2 linked regions of the Coturnix japonica genome follow. The protein of the gene in region 1 interacts with the protein of each later gene in a pairwise test. Links are inferred from orthologs where the notes say so. Each region holds a gene or a part of one and is shown in the gene's direction. Other genes may lie near its edges.

What was found. The genes of interacting proteins can lie anywhere in the genome.
Region 2: the proteins of CYTH1 (region 1) and CYTIP interact in binary tests that used the Homo sapiens proteins (3 or more experiments, as listed by UniProt). The link is inferred for Coturnix japonica from reciprocal best matches to the Homo sapiens genes CYTH1 and CYTIP.

Annotation. Positions count from the first base shown.
Region 1 is NC_029533.1:4,590,095-4,596,591, reverse strand, and holds the end of CYTH1 (cytohesin-1), read left to right. Parts: intron 1-381; coding exon 382-448; intron 449-586; coding exon 587-705; intron 706-1,031; coding exon 1,032-1,112; intron 1,113-1,220; coding exon 1,221-1,333; intron 1,334-1,406; coding exon 1,407-1,555; intron 1,556-1,632; coding exon 1,633-1,744; coding exon of another isoform or gene 1,745-1,745; intron 1,746-4,330; coding exon of another isoform or gene 4,331-4,332; coding exon 4,333-4,409; intron 4,410-4,560; coding exon 4,561-4,632; intron 4,633-4,853; coding exon 4,854-5,008; intron 5,009-5,136; coding exon 5,137-5,215; 3' UTR 5,216-6,229; downstream 6,230-6,497. UniProt on the Homo sapiens protein: Promotes guanine-nucleotide exchange on ARF1, ARF5 and ARF6. Promotes the activation of ARF factors through replacement of GDP with GTP.
Region 2 is NC_029522.1:29,845,796-29,852,136, forward strand, and holds part of CYTIP (cytohesin-interacting protein), read left to right. Parts: intron 1-1,995; coding exon 1,996-2,045; intron 2,046-2,368; coding exon 2,369-2,423; intron 2,424-4,375; coding exon 4,376-4,478; intron 4,479-4,600; coding exon 4,601-4,694; intron 4,695-4,984; coding exon 4,985-5,054; intron 5,055-6,341. UniProt on the Homo sapiens protein: By its binding to cytohesin-1 (CYTH1), it modifies activation of ARFs by CYTH1 and its precise function may be to sequester CYTH1 in the cytoplasm.

The DNA of each region.
Region 1 (6,497 bases):
TGGCAGCATCAGAGTGAAGCAGGAGGGGAGCTGAGTGCCAGGTGCTGTGTTTGCCTCATGCAGGTTGTGCCCAGTTTGGTGCTGTGGAGCCTGTCAGGGGTTGAGGAGCTTTGCTCTTGATCCCATCCACACAGGACAAGAGGCTGGGAGGAGGAATCCAGGGCTCCTGAACTTCTCTGGGCAGTTCTTTAGCACAGGTTGTGGGTGCCCCATCCCTGGGGGAGCCCAAGGCCAGGCTGCATGGGGCACTGGGTAGCTAGATCTGGTGGGGGGGGAGCAACTCCAGCCTGGAATGGAACTGGGTGATTTTTCATGTCCTTTCCAACTTAAACCTTTCTATTACTTTCTTTTTGACGCTCAGAGCTGTTTTATGTCCTGCAGGAAAAACATGCAGAGGAACAAGCAGGTGGCAATGGGCAGGAAGAAGTTCAACATGGATCCCAAGAAGGTACTGGGGGCTGGCATCAGGCTCTGCAGGGGGTGCTGCATACCATGGTCTGGGTACTGAGCCGAGCAGAGCCAGGAGAAGGGAATAGCATAAAGGTTGGAAGCGTGACCCGAATCAATGCCTCTTGCTTTGCTTCAGGGCATCCAGTTCCTGATTGAGAACGACTTGCTGAAGAACACGTGTGAGGATATTGCTCAGTTCCTCTACAAGGGAGAGGGCCTCAACAAGACAGCCATTGGAGACTACCTGGGTGAGAGGTACGCAAGGCCTGGAGCAACTCGGTCCCTGTGCAGGAGGAGATGGTGCAACCCTTGCAGGTTGCTGCTGGGCTGGGCTGGCTCCAGGGCCCCCAGCAGGACATCAGGCTCTGGGTCTTCAAGTGGCTGCGCCAGCCCCTTGCTGAGTGCCAGGGTCTGTGGCTGGGCTCTTGGAAAGGCTGCTGCGTGCAAACCTGGCCATAGGATGGCCCATAGCCATAGGTTCCCTATCCTGAGTGCAGAGAGCAGAGCGGGGCAGGGGGCCATGCGGCAGTCACAGGACGGGCTGATCACACACACCTCGTGCTCTGGCTTTGTTTCTGCAGGGACGAGTTTAACATCCAAGTCCTGCACGCCTTCGTGGAGCTGCATGAGTTCACGGACCTCAACCTCGTCCAGGCATTGCGGTGAGCCGGGGGCTGAGTGGGGCTGGGCTGGGCTGTGAGCTGTGTGCCCTGCAGGGCCCTGAGGGCTGGAGGATGCAACCAAAGCAGTGCTGTGCCTGCTGTCCTCAGGCAGTTCCTGTGGAGCTTTCGGCTGCCGGGAGAGGCACAGAAGATCGATCGGATGATGGAGGCCTTCGCACAGCGGTACTGCCAGTGCAACCCTGGCGTCTTCCAGTCCACAGGTGAGCACAGCTCCAGCCCTGTGCCCTGCTCTGTGCCCTGCCTTGCACCTGACTGTCCTCTCTGTCCCCGCAGACACCTGCTATGTGCTCTCCTTCGCTATCATCATGCTGAACACCAGCCTGCACAACCCCAACGTCAAGGACAAACCCACAGCAGAGCGATTCATCGCCATGAACCGTGGCATCAACGATGGGGGGGACCTGCCTGAGGAGCTGCTGCGGGTAAGGGATGGGATGCAAGGATTCAGGGCTGGGGCACAGCGGGCTCACAGAGGTGACACCGTGTGTGGTTGTACCAGAATCTCTATGAGAGCATCAAGAATGAACCCTTCAAAATCCCAGAGGATGATGGCAATGACCTCACACACACCTTCTTCAACCCTGACCGGGAGGGCTGGCTGCTGAAGCTGGGTAAGTGCTGGCAACCAGATGGGTGCAGCCTGGGCAGGGTGTGCTCTGCCCCAGGGTCTGGGCTGAGCCATGGGTATGATGCCCACAGACTGCCTGCACGTGGCTCTGTGGAGCACAGCCCTGCCAAGAGATGAGGGGCTGCAGCCATGAGCACAGCCCGCATGGACAGTGTCCGTACCTCTGTCCCTCCATCGGCCTCGCATTGAGCAGCAGGAGCAGAGCTGCTATTGGAGAGGCCCTTTGCTGCAGCCACGTGGGCTCCCAGTGGGATTCTGCCTGGAGGCTGCTGTGCTGAGCTGGTACCTGGCTCTGGTGTCAGATCACAGAGCTGGGGGTGCTCTGCACAGCGCTGGGACACAGCAGGGTCCCATCAGAGCCCCAAGGAGTGAATGGCGAGCTGCCCCCGGGCTGCGTGTCCCCCTCCATGCCTCAGAGCTGTCCCTGCCTCACCTTCCCACAGCATTATCACCTCCGCATCCCGGCTCCACATGCAGGCAGCGTGCATGGCATCCCTGCTGCACAGCCCGGCACTCGCAGACACGAGCCTGCCCTGCCCCACACCCTGCCCCACACCCTGCCCCACACCCTGCCCCACACCCTGGCTCCTGCAGCTTCTCATCTCGACACCTCCTGGGGACCTCTGCCCGGGTTGAGGAGGGGGGGTGCTGGCAGGAGCAGGGGCTGCAGGGCCTTTCCCTGGGCTCTTGCTGAGGTTGGGGCTCTGTCCTCTCACTGGGGGGAGTTTTTGCTCTGTTGCCACCCCTGCGAGATGGGATCAGGACCTTATCCCTTTCCTTGCAATGACCAACACAGAGCCCTGCCTGGGCACTGAACAAGGTGTTCCCTAGCTGTGGGGTGGGGGTGTGAAGGGCCATGAAGAACCCTATACCCCTGCCTTTGTGTCCCCATAGAGCCCGGAGCTCTGCTGGTAGAAGGGTCCCATAGCATGAGGGTGGGGGCTGCTCAGAGCCAAGGACACCGATAGTGTAGCAGAGCGGTGCCGTGGCCCATCCCCTCAAAGCTCCCCATCTGCAGCCCTGTCCCGCTGACACACACGGCTCTGTGCGGGGTGAGGGGGGTTCTTCGGGATTTCCTCTTTTTTTTTTATTTTATTTATTTTATTTTTTCCTTTTTGTTTTAATTTTCTTTTCTCCCTCATTTGTATGTTTCCATGATTTTGGCTCTTCCTTTCCTTGTCCCCCAACTCCAGGAGGTACGTACCCCTATCCCCTGTACCCCTTTTATCCCCTGCTCTGCTCATGCCTCTGGGGGCTTCGTTTCTTTTTCGTTTTTAATCGCTGGCGATTAGTCTCATTGCTGCTGCTGCTAACCACCGCACCGCCCGGGGGGACCTTGCCTGCAGGGGACAGCCCCGCACCCGCAGCCACCAGGGCAGGGACGTGGCTGCTGGTCCCTCCGATGCCGAATGCTCCCCGAGGTGTCCTGGTTCCCTCTGCTGCCCTCGGTCCCATCATAGGGACAATTGGTACTGGTGTGTCCTCAGACCCATCCGCAGAGGGTCGTGGCCTCCAGTACCGTGAGGGATGGGGCTTGGATTGTGGTGTTTCAGGGCATTCAGGAAGGACCTGCAGCTGGCTGGGTGCAGGGCGCTGTGCAGTGCTGCAGCTCATGGCTGTGCTGGTGCTGGGCACAAGTGCTGCCCTGGCTCAGCATGTGGGCACACTCTGGGCAGCCTCAGGGCTGTGCTGGCTCTCAATGCCACACGGTTCCTCCTCCAGAGCCCTGCCATGTTGTCACCTGGTGAGGCTGTAGCCTGCAATGAGGGCTTGGTGGGGGCTGGAGGGCATCAAGTCTCCTTGGGTTGTGGGGTGGGCTCGGCTCAAGGTGAGCAGGAGCAGGGGGGCTTTGCTGGGAAATGCCGGCCCTGCCTGGCTGTGGGGCAGGGAATGGGGTGTGCAGCCTTTCCCAGGAGCGGGCACTGACTGTGGCTGGGTTAATGGGTGGGCAGTGGGGTGGGATGGGGGGGGATATGAGGCAGGGATCTCCCTGCAGAGCCGGACAGGGAGAGAGGAAATGAGCACATTCCCCTCGTTGCACACATTGCTTCTTTGTGGGCAGCATGGCCTGGGCACCCATACAGCAGCACTGAGCAGAGCAGCTGGTGCTTGGAGCGTGTGGGGGTGCGGGGGCAGAGCCAGGCCCAGCACTGCAGCACTCTGAGCCTGGGGGGGAGCAATGTGCAATGGCAGTGCTGGGTGTAGAGCTCCCTCCAGCCACTGTTCGCATGCTGCAGCACCGAGCTCTGCTTTGCCTTGGCATCGGGCTGTGCTGCAGGGCTGGAGCTGCAGCTCCTTCTGCCGCACATCAGTGCTTGTAAGCGGGCACGGCAGTGCTCCCATCCCTGCCCTCCCACCTCCCTCTGCCTCCATCCTCATCCGTCTGCTTTCCGCTCATGCTCTCGCCCTGCCGGCGTGCTGTGTGCTGCCTGCTGCTCTGCGCTGCGGGCTGCCTGCATCTGCTTGTCTGTGTGCGTCCGCCTGGGCTGCAGCACTGCCGTGCCGTGCCGTGCCATGCTGTGCCATGCAGCAGCACCAGGGCTGCCCCCAACCGCCTCTCTCTGCTCCCAGGAGGAAGGGTGAAGACGTGGAAGCGGCGCTGGTTCATCCTGACCGACAACTGCCTTTACTACTTCGAATACACGACGGTCAGTGATTTACATGGGGGCTGGGGACCCTCGGGGGTCCCATGGCCGTGTGGGATGCAGACGTAGCACAGAGTGCTGGGAGCACTCAGCCCTTCCTATGGGGCACTGGTTGGAGGTGTCTGTAATGACAAGCTCTGCTTGGCCCCATCAGGATAAAGAGCCACGTGGCATCATCCCCTTGGAGAACCTGAGCATCCGTGAGGTGGAGGACTCCAAGAAACCCGTGAGTGCCCGGCAGGATCCTGCAAGGCTGGAGGGTGGGATAGGGAAAGCCAGAGGGCCCCACTGTGGTGGCAGGACACAGCTGTGGGGTGATGTCACAGCATGGCCCCATCCTGCTGTGCTGGGTGTGCAGCCCCACTGCTCTGCACCATCCTCCCCCAGCCCAGGGTGCCCCACTGCACTTGGTGTGGGGGCTGTGTCTGAAGGGGTTCCTCCCTGCAGAACTGCTTTGAGCTCTACATCCCTGACAACAAGGACCAGGTGATCAAAGCGTGCAAAACGGAGGCAGACGGGCGGGTAGTGGAGGGGAACCACACCGTGTACCGCATCTCAGCCCCCACACCTGAGGAGAAGGAGGAGTGGATCAAGTGCATCAAGTGAGTGCTTTGCGGGCCATCCCCTGCTGTCAGGGTGGGTGGCAGCACATCATGGGAGCCATGTTATGGGGGGAAAGGGCTTCCCGTGGGGTACAGCTGCTGGCTGACACTCTCTGCTTCCCCACCAGGGCAGCCATCAGCCGGGACCCATTCTACGAGATGCTGGCTGCCAGGAAGAAGAAGGTATCCTCCACCAAGAGGCACTAGCAGCCTGGCAAGACCACCATGCCCCTGGCAGCACCATACCTCCATCCGCAGGGCTGCGGGGCTGGGGCTCAGCACGGCCCTGGTGCCAGGACCCAGCTTCAGCTTTGCAGTTTCTTTACCGTGGGGGGAGGGAGGGAGCAAGGGTATCTCAGTGCCATCACCACCTCGCTTCCAGACAGCTCCAGGCTGCAGCTGGGACTCCCTTGCACACAGTCCTGGGGTTGGCTGTGAGATGAGAAGTGTCACCTGTGCACATCGCCCTCCCCTCCCACCTTAGCAGCCCAGTGCTTGCCCGGCATCCCCCCACTGAGCTCCCACTGAGCAGCTTCCAGTCCTGGGCAGCAGTGAGCTGCAGCCAGTGGGAGAGATAAGAGCCTGGCCAAGGGGAACCCAGCATCCCCATGTTGGGGACGGGCTTCTGGGTCCCAGCACTCGTGTCCTGAAGCACTTGAGGTGTCCCATCCTGGAGGAGAAGGCTGGCAGTTGTGGGGTGCTGGAGGCACAGGGCAGCCCCAGGGCAGTGGCAGCGCTCCTGGCCCTCGTTGTAGCGGGCTTGGGGTGCCCTCCCCAGCCATGGGGTGCTGGAGCTGGGGGAGGCTGCAGTCCCATGGCACCAGGCTGGTGCTGCCCTGCCACATCCTACAGCCATGAGCCCCTCAGTGCTGGGTAGGGAAGGCCATTGTGAGCCCCTGACCCCAGGCAGGACTGCACCAAGGATGGCTGCCATCAGGATGTGGCCCCACTCCTCTGCCCCACAAACACCACGGCCATCCCATTCCCCAGCCACATACGCAGGTCCAGAGAGACACCTGGATCAGTATCAGTCTATTTATCAGAGGTGTAAATATTCCTGTATAGTTTCCTCCTTTTAAATTATTTTATATGTAGGGGTTAAGTGCAGAGGCCTCTCTGGCGGGTACGGTGTGGCTGGATTTTATATTCCTTTGGGTTATTTGGGTTTTTTTTTTGCCACGGCCTTGTAAACTGCAGCCAATAAACACCAAACTGCGCTCACTTGTGTCCTCCTGGGCTTTGTTGGGGGGGGGTCTGGGCCGTGTATTTGCTCCTCCCAGCCCTGAGGTTGTCTGGGGAGGGCAGTGGATGGGGGGCTGCAGTGGGGCCGTGGTGGGCGGTGAGGCGACCCCTAGTCCCTATCACAGCTTACAGGTGATGCCTCCAGCTGGGGTAGGACAGCAACCAGCCCCTCCTAAAGGCAGACGGGGTTGGCTGGGGCAGAACCGCAGTTCTGAGCAGTTGGACTGCACCTGACGTCGGTTTGGGG
Region 2 (6,341 bases), on another chromosome or scaffold:
TAACCAGGGCCCATCCATGGCCTGGGGCACCTCCAGGGATGGGGCACCGCAGCTCTGGGCAGCTGTGCTGGGGTCTCGCCGCACTCTGAATAAGGAATTTCCTCCTCACGTCCAACCTAAATCTCCTGTTCTAGTTCAGTAGCACTCCCCTTGTCCTGTCACTGTCTGCCCAGGTACAAAGCCAGTGTTCCTCCTGTTTATAAGCTCCCTTTTCATGCAGAACAGAAAATTTCTGTTGTTTGCAATGGGAGGCCAACGAAACTGTCTTTTGCTGCTGCTGTAAATTGCCAGCTGAGCAATTGTAGCTCGCCTGTTTGTCTTGTGTGAATAAGCCTAAATTGAAAGTGCTTGAAATGCATTATCGTCTTGAAGTGTTATCGGAAAACTGGCACATAATGTCTGTGCACTGAACGCTCTGCTTTATGCAGCAACAGCAGCACATTCCTCCCATACAGCCCTGCGGATGTAAAGGACAGCCAGAAGCAGACCAGCTCTGGGCAGGCTCTGCTGCATTGGTGCAGATACCACCAGCAGTGACAGAGCAGCACTTGGTGGTCCTGGTGCAGATGAATGAGCGATAAATAGCCGTGGTGTGTCTGTGTGTGTTAAGGAAGAACTCCAAATGTGTTACTACGTGGCACCCCTTACTCCTCCCTGCTTCTCTCTCCAATTAAACACAGGTTCATAAAATGGAAGTTGTGTTGGTGGTTGCACATTGTCATGGCTTTGCACTATTGAAGCCGGAGATGTTTGACTATGTTGACTATATAGTTTAGTAGCAATGTAATTCCTTATTTTTGGCTCATGTTTATACAAAGCATTGATGTTTAAGTGCTGATCCTGGCTTTTCTCGGGCCTCTGTAGGCACAAGCCTGCCTTGAATGAAGTGGGGATGCTGGGTGCTTGTTGCCATGGCCATGCATCAGCTTGGAAACACTATTTAGCCACTACTAGTAGCTGCTGAGAGCTGCCTGCAGCTTTGTGGTGTGTGTATGTGTGTGTCTGCTCTTTGCCTTTTGTGGTACATGTTAAAGTTACAAATACCTACTGAATTTTTAGGGGAAAGGTGTGAAAGGAAGTTGAGGTCTCAGCATAACAGAATTGTGATTTGGGCACCTGATAGATGATAATTACAGTGTTACTGAAAATGTTGACTGGAAACCCCTGGCTCCAGTCTTGGAGCCTCCCTGCTTTACTGCTGGATGCTGAAGTGCAGCAGGAGGTCCTGCTTTGATGCCCTACAGAACACAGCATTCCTCTTTAGCAGCTGTGCCTTTTGTCCCTCCAGTTTCTGCCCCCTGAGAAGCTGCACCTCCAGCAGTTTTTGTTCAGAATCCCCTACTCCAGGAACTGTTCCTATCAGATTTTTGTCTGTGTTTTCATCACTAATTTTCCTCTTGCACTCACTGATGTGAGCACAGCAGCCCTTCAGATTCCCATGCAGCCCCTCCTGCTTTGAGCCCCTCCGGTGTGTGCTGCTGTGTTCCCCAGCCACGTCCTGCTGTGCTCACCTCCTCCTTGGGAGTGATGTCTGAGAGCTGGTTGGGAGAGGTCGCATTGTCACCCCTGCACAATCTGTTATCACGGGATATCGGCCGGCAGTGACTCAGCTCCCCATTCTTTGCTCGCTGCAGGAGGGCTGGGACAGCAGAAAGCTGGTGGGCAGCGATGCTTTCACATCAGGTTGGGACTGGAATTGCAGGGCTGTCCCCCACGGAGAAACATCCGTTGATGTCTTCTGGATGTAAGCAACCGGATCGATATTACCATGTGCTAAGAGCACTCATGGCTTTGTTTTGCTCTGTGATGTTCCTATCTTGGTAGTGCTGAATGTCGTGTTTAAAAGATTTGGAAAAATACCATTTTTGAGGGACTGATTTCCAGCCTAACAGCAACACAGTGGCATTCCTCCAGCAGCAGCTTCCTGTGGCCCACAGGGAGCCCCGAGGAGCTGTGACCCCACTGACACTTTTCCTCTCCTCTTTCTGCTTGCAGCTCGCTCTGACCAGATCCAGCTCCCTGGGGGACTGCTCCCAGCCACAGAGGTACGGCGATGCCCCACCAGCTGTGCTCACACAGCCCAGCCCCGGGTGGGATGGATCACTCAAGGGGGAAGTAGGGTAGAGGGGCTCAGGAATGGAATCATAGAAAGATAAGATATCCCAGTTGGAAGGGACCCACAAGGAGCAGCGAGCCCCACACAGCCCCATCTGAACCCAAAGTCTGAGGTTGGTGTCCCGGCTCTCCCTGAGCACGGCAGCTCAGGGCTGTGCCGTCTGCCCTGGGAGCTGTATTGCACCCACTGCCCTCTGTGGCACAGCCTTTCCCTGCTGTACAACCCTGGTAATTCTGAGCGTTTTTCTTGCAGACACTTCATTTCTATATTGAAAGAAGATAAGGAGACGTTTGGGTTTGAAATCCAGGTAAGACTTACGTGGCAAATTGATTCATTTAAAGCTATAATACTCACATCCTCCAAACTAGATTAATGCTGGATGGGGTAGAGAAAGAAACCTGTGAGTCCCTTGTTAAACAGGAGTGCTTAAGAAGCAGTACAGAAATGGGATGTGCTACTGAGGAGTTCTCACAGACACAAATGAGAGCCTGGTCCCACGGCAAGTTGGAGAGCTGACCATAGGAGACACCTCAGGTCCAAAGTGAGCAATGGGAACGCCTTCCTTCCTCCTCAGGCGATCGTGTTTTCAGAGATATTTTTATATAAAACAAGAGAGATCCAAACCCTCTTTTATTTCTAGAAAAGCTGCTGTATGAGATGGCACCGCTGTGCCCACGGCGCTGTGCAGAGGGACCTGCTGGCTTTGGTGAAAGGAGTGCTGTGGGGAAAGCCCAGCTTGTTCAGAGTTGATTCTGTGACTGATGGTTTTGTAAGTGTTCAGCTCAGGAACACTTTGAAAGCTTTCAGAAGGGAAGATAATTGAGTCAATTATCCGGCTTTTGTATAAACCGCTGGGCAGATTTTCATTATATGTGACATTCTGATTAGAATTAATTGCTCTTGGTGTATTTCTTCCTGAATGTACCTTCAGTGTGAGCATTTCACTAGAAAGTCCAGGCTGTGACATGACAGTATCTGTTTGGTACCAAGCATAAGCCACTATTTGGAAGTTGCAGTTTCATTCTTGCTATAATTTGAACACGGGCAAACCAGAATATGAGGATGTGAAATTCAAGGTCTGCCATCTGCAAGGAGCTCATCAGAGCTACAGCGATGGCTGAACACAGAGACTCTTGTGTGCTGCTTGTTCCGGTACTGGTACAAGCTGCTTGTACTAGTACTCCCCACTCATTAAATGGATTCTGGTGGTGAGATGGACACGGGGTGTCTCTGTCCATGCCCAGGTGTTTGCACATCAGCTGCTCCAAGTCATGTCTTTCCTGGCATTGTGGCCACCTAAAGCACAGTTATCCAGCCCAAAGTGACAGCCTGATTTTTTTCCATGGTCTATGAAGAGAAGAAGGCATGTGGTGGAAGAATCCCATCCTCCTGGTTAGAAATGGAGCTCTTAGGGCCACCAGTCACTTGCTGGGGACATCTGCCTCTTTGGGTGGCTCTGGCAGAGTTGCTGAGCTGGTGGACAGACGTCTCAGCTAGGAATGGTGAATCCCGCCGCTCAAGATGGTCCAAACAGAAAAACAGGCATATCCTACTGCCTCGAATATGCAGTGGTTTATCCTTCAGAACCCTCATCACAGAGTCACAGAATGGTTGGGTTGGAAGGGACCTCAAGGATCATGAAGCTCCACCCCCCTGCCACATGCAGAGCCACCAGCCTCCCCATTTAATACCAGCCCAGGCTGCCCAGGGCCCCATCCAGCCTGGCCTTGAACACCTCCAGGGATGGGGCATCACATCATGTGCTGTTCTTAGTTTAGCTGAAAGCTTTTCTGGTGGTTTTAAGACTGAAATCACCACGTTGGTGTGATTTGCCCTAATAAACTCTGAAGTCATGATAGAATTCATCTCTGTCAGTGTTGACTGAGGAATGTGGGAACCTATCACATATGTAAGGTAGGTTTGACAGTCGTGGGTTTTCAGGAACTTCAGCTTCAGTCTTAAATGTCTGCGTGGCAGAGGATGTGGCCGAATACTGATATTTGCATGCAACCCAAAATACATTTCCTGTCATTGCAAAATCTGCTCAGGTCGTATCTCTTAGTTTAGCACTTTTCTAAATGAATGTCTGAGTTGATAACAGGACGATGGATTTTACAGGCGTTGTAAAGATACAACCTGCTCAACACAGCCTTCTCCTTTTAAAAAAGCAGTGTGAAATCAGAATAGATCATATGACAGTATTGTAAATATTGCTTGTTGTCTTCAATGTCAGCAGCACTTCTTTTTCGCTATTTACAGACACTTAGATTTCCAAACCAAACCGATTACTCCCTGGAGGTATGCACTTGTGTCTGCAAAATCCAAGAGGAAAGTCCTGCCCATTTTTCTGGCCTTCAAATTGGTAATGACTTGTTTTCTTTCCTATCTGTGGGTTGCTTTTCTCCATGGTAGTTTTGTTTTATAGAATGTGGAAGGGATGCGTATGCTGAAGATGCTCACTTTAGCCTCTGCTTATCCTTACAGGTGATATTCTTGCCAATGTCAACGGAGTGAACACTGATGGTTTTAGTCACAAGCAAATTGTAGACTTGATAAAGTCTTCAGGGAACTATTTAAGGTAGGCATCTGCCCTTCACAGTTGAGTCTGACACTGTCCTACTGGAAGCCATCAAATCTTGTGCTAAGCAGCAGTGCCACACTCACAGACACGCAGTGCTGTGATATGCATCTCTTGCCCATGCTCATCCCATAGCAAGTGCTGAATCCATCTGTTGAGGGGAAGTGGTGGCACATCTGGACCCCCAGTGTCCCATGTGCATCCCCTCCATGAGGACCACATAGCACCACGTGCTGCTGTGGGGCCACTACTACCCAGTGCTGGCACCCAAAGCCCCCTCTTCTTTCCAGGCTGGAGACTGTCAACGGGGCCCTGTTCCTGAGGAAGACAGAGCTGGAGACCAAGCTGCATCTGCTGAAGGTAACACAGTGAACCACTGCGCTGCTGTCAAATGCAGAGTGCTGCTGTGAGTTGGCTGTTTGTGGGGGTGGCCATGAGGTGAGGTAGGGGCCGGGGGACCATGTGTCCCTGGTGCTGGTGCTGCCAGTCCCAGTGCCTCCCTGGGGGATGCTGCAGGGGCTGGGTGCCACTGCTGTGTGTGGGGATGATGTCAGCACCCCCTCACTGTGGGCACTGCAGCATCGCTCTGGCTGCAGCACCAGCCTGCACATGAGGTTGTCATGCCACAACCACAGGGTCCTGACTCCCCATCACATCTCTGGGAGCCACACGTCTTCAGCTCTGGGACTGCAAAGGGTCTTTGTGAGCCCCTGGGCATTTTCTGATAGTATCCAAGGGCTCATCCTGCCAGTGGGTGCTGAGCTTCTCCAGATCTTAACCTGGCCTGATTTAGGGAAGAAAAAATGTTGGTCACATGACATAGGATTGTTTTTCATTAGATCAAATGATGAAAATTAGGCAAAAAAAAAATCATTTTTATAATTTTGACCTCCTCTTAAGACAATTTTTGCCTTTTCTTAAACTTGGTCAGACTGAGAATTGATGAGTGCTGTAAGTAAACAGCGAGCTAAGCCAGCATTTGGAGGATGTCAAAGCATGACGTGTAGACACTTTGGAGTATTCCTTACCTGATGGAGAGCTTTTCCTTATAGCAGCACTGAGCCAAGGTGACCTGCAGGAATGGGGTACTTCAAACTGGATTCTGATCTGGCTGGAATAAACCTCATCATAAATGTTCAGGCTTGCCAGAGCTTTGCAGCAGGGATGGGATTTGCTGTCTGTGTGCATCTGGGGTCAACGCCTGTGTGAGCAGCACTGAGCGGCTGCCCCTCCTTGTATGGTGCAGAGAACTCAGGAAGACAGAAGCTGCTGTGAAACACCCAGCTTTCCTGTTCAGATAGCAGTGGTTTCCCAGAAGTGCCAGGCTTCAGCCAGGAGAGCTTTCACTCTTGTGTGAAGTTGGGTGTGGGCCTGGCCCTGAGTGTCGGCACTAATGTCTGGTGTGTGGCACAGGGCTGTGCCCCATGTCAGTGCCAGTGAGGTCTGATGGGATGGGAGAAACCACCCTGCCAAGTGGCTGTGCTTTTGGCTGGGGCCAAGGGATGGCAAAGAGCCCCAGGGCTGCTGCCCTGCTGGTGCTTTAGCCCAGAGCCGTGGTGTTTTGATTGGTGTTGCTGGAATGTGGAACAGAGAAAAATGTGCAAGGAACAGCAATATTGTCCACGCAAGCTTTGCCTGGGCAGTTTG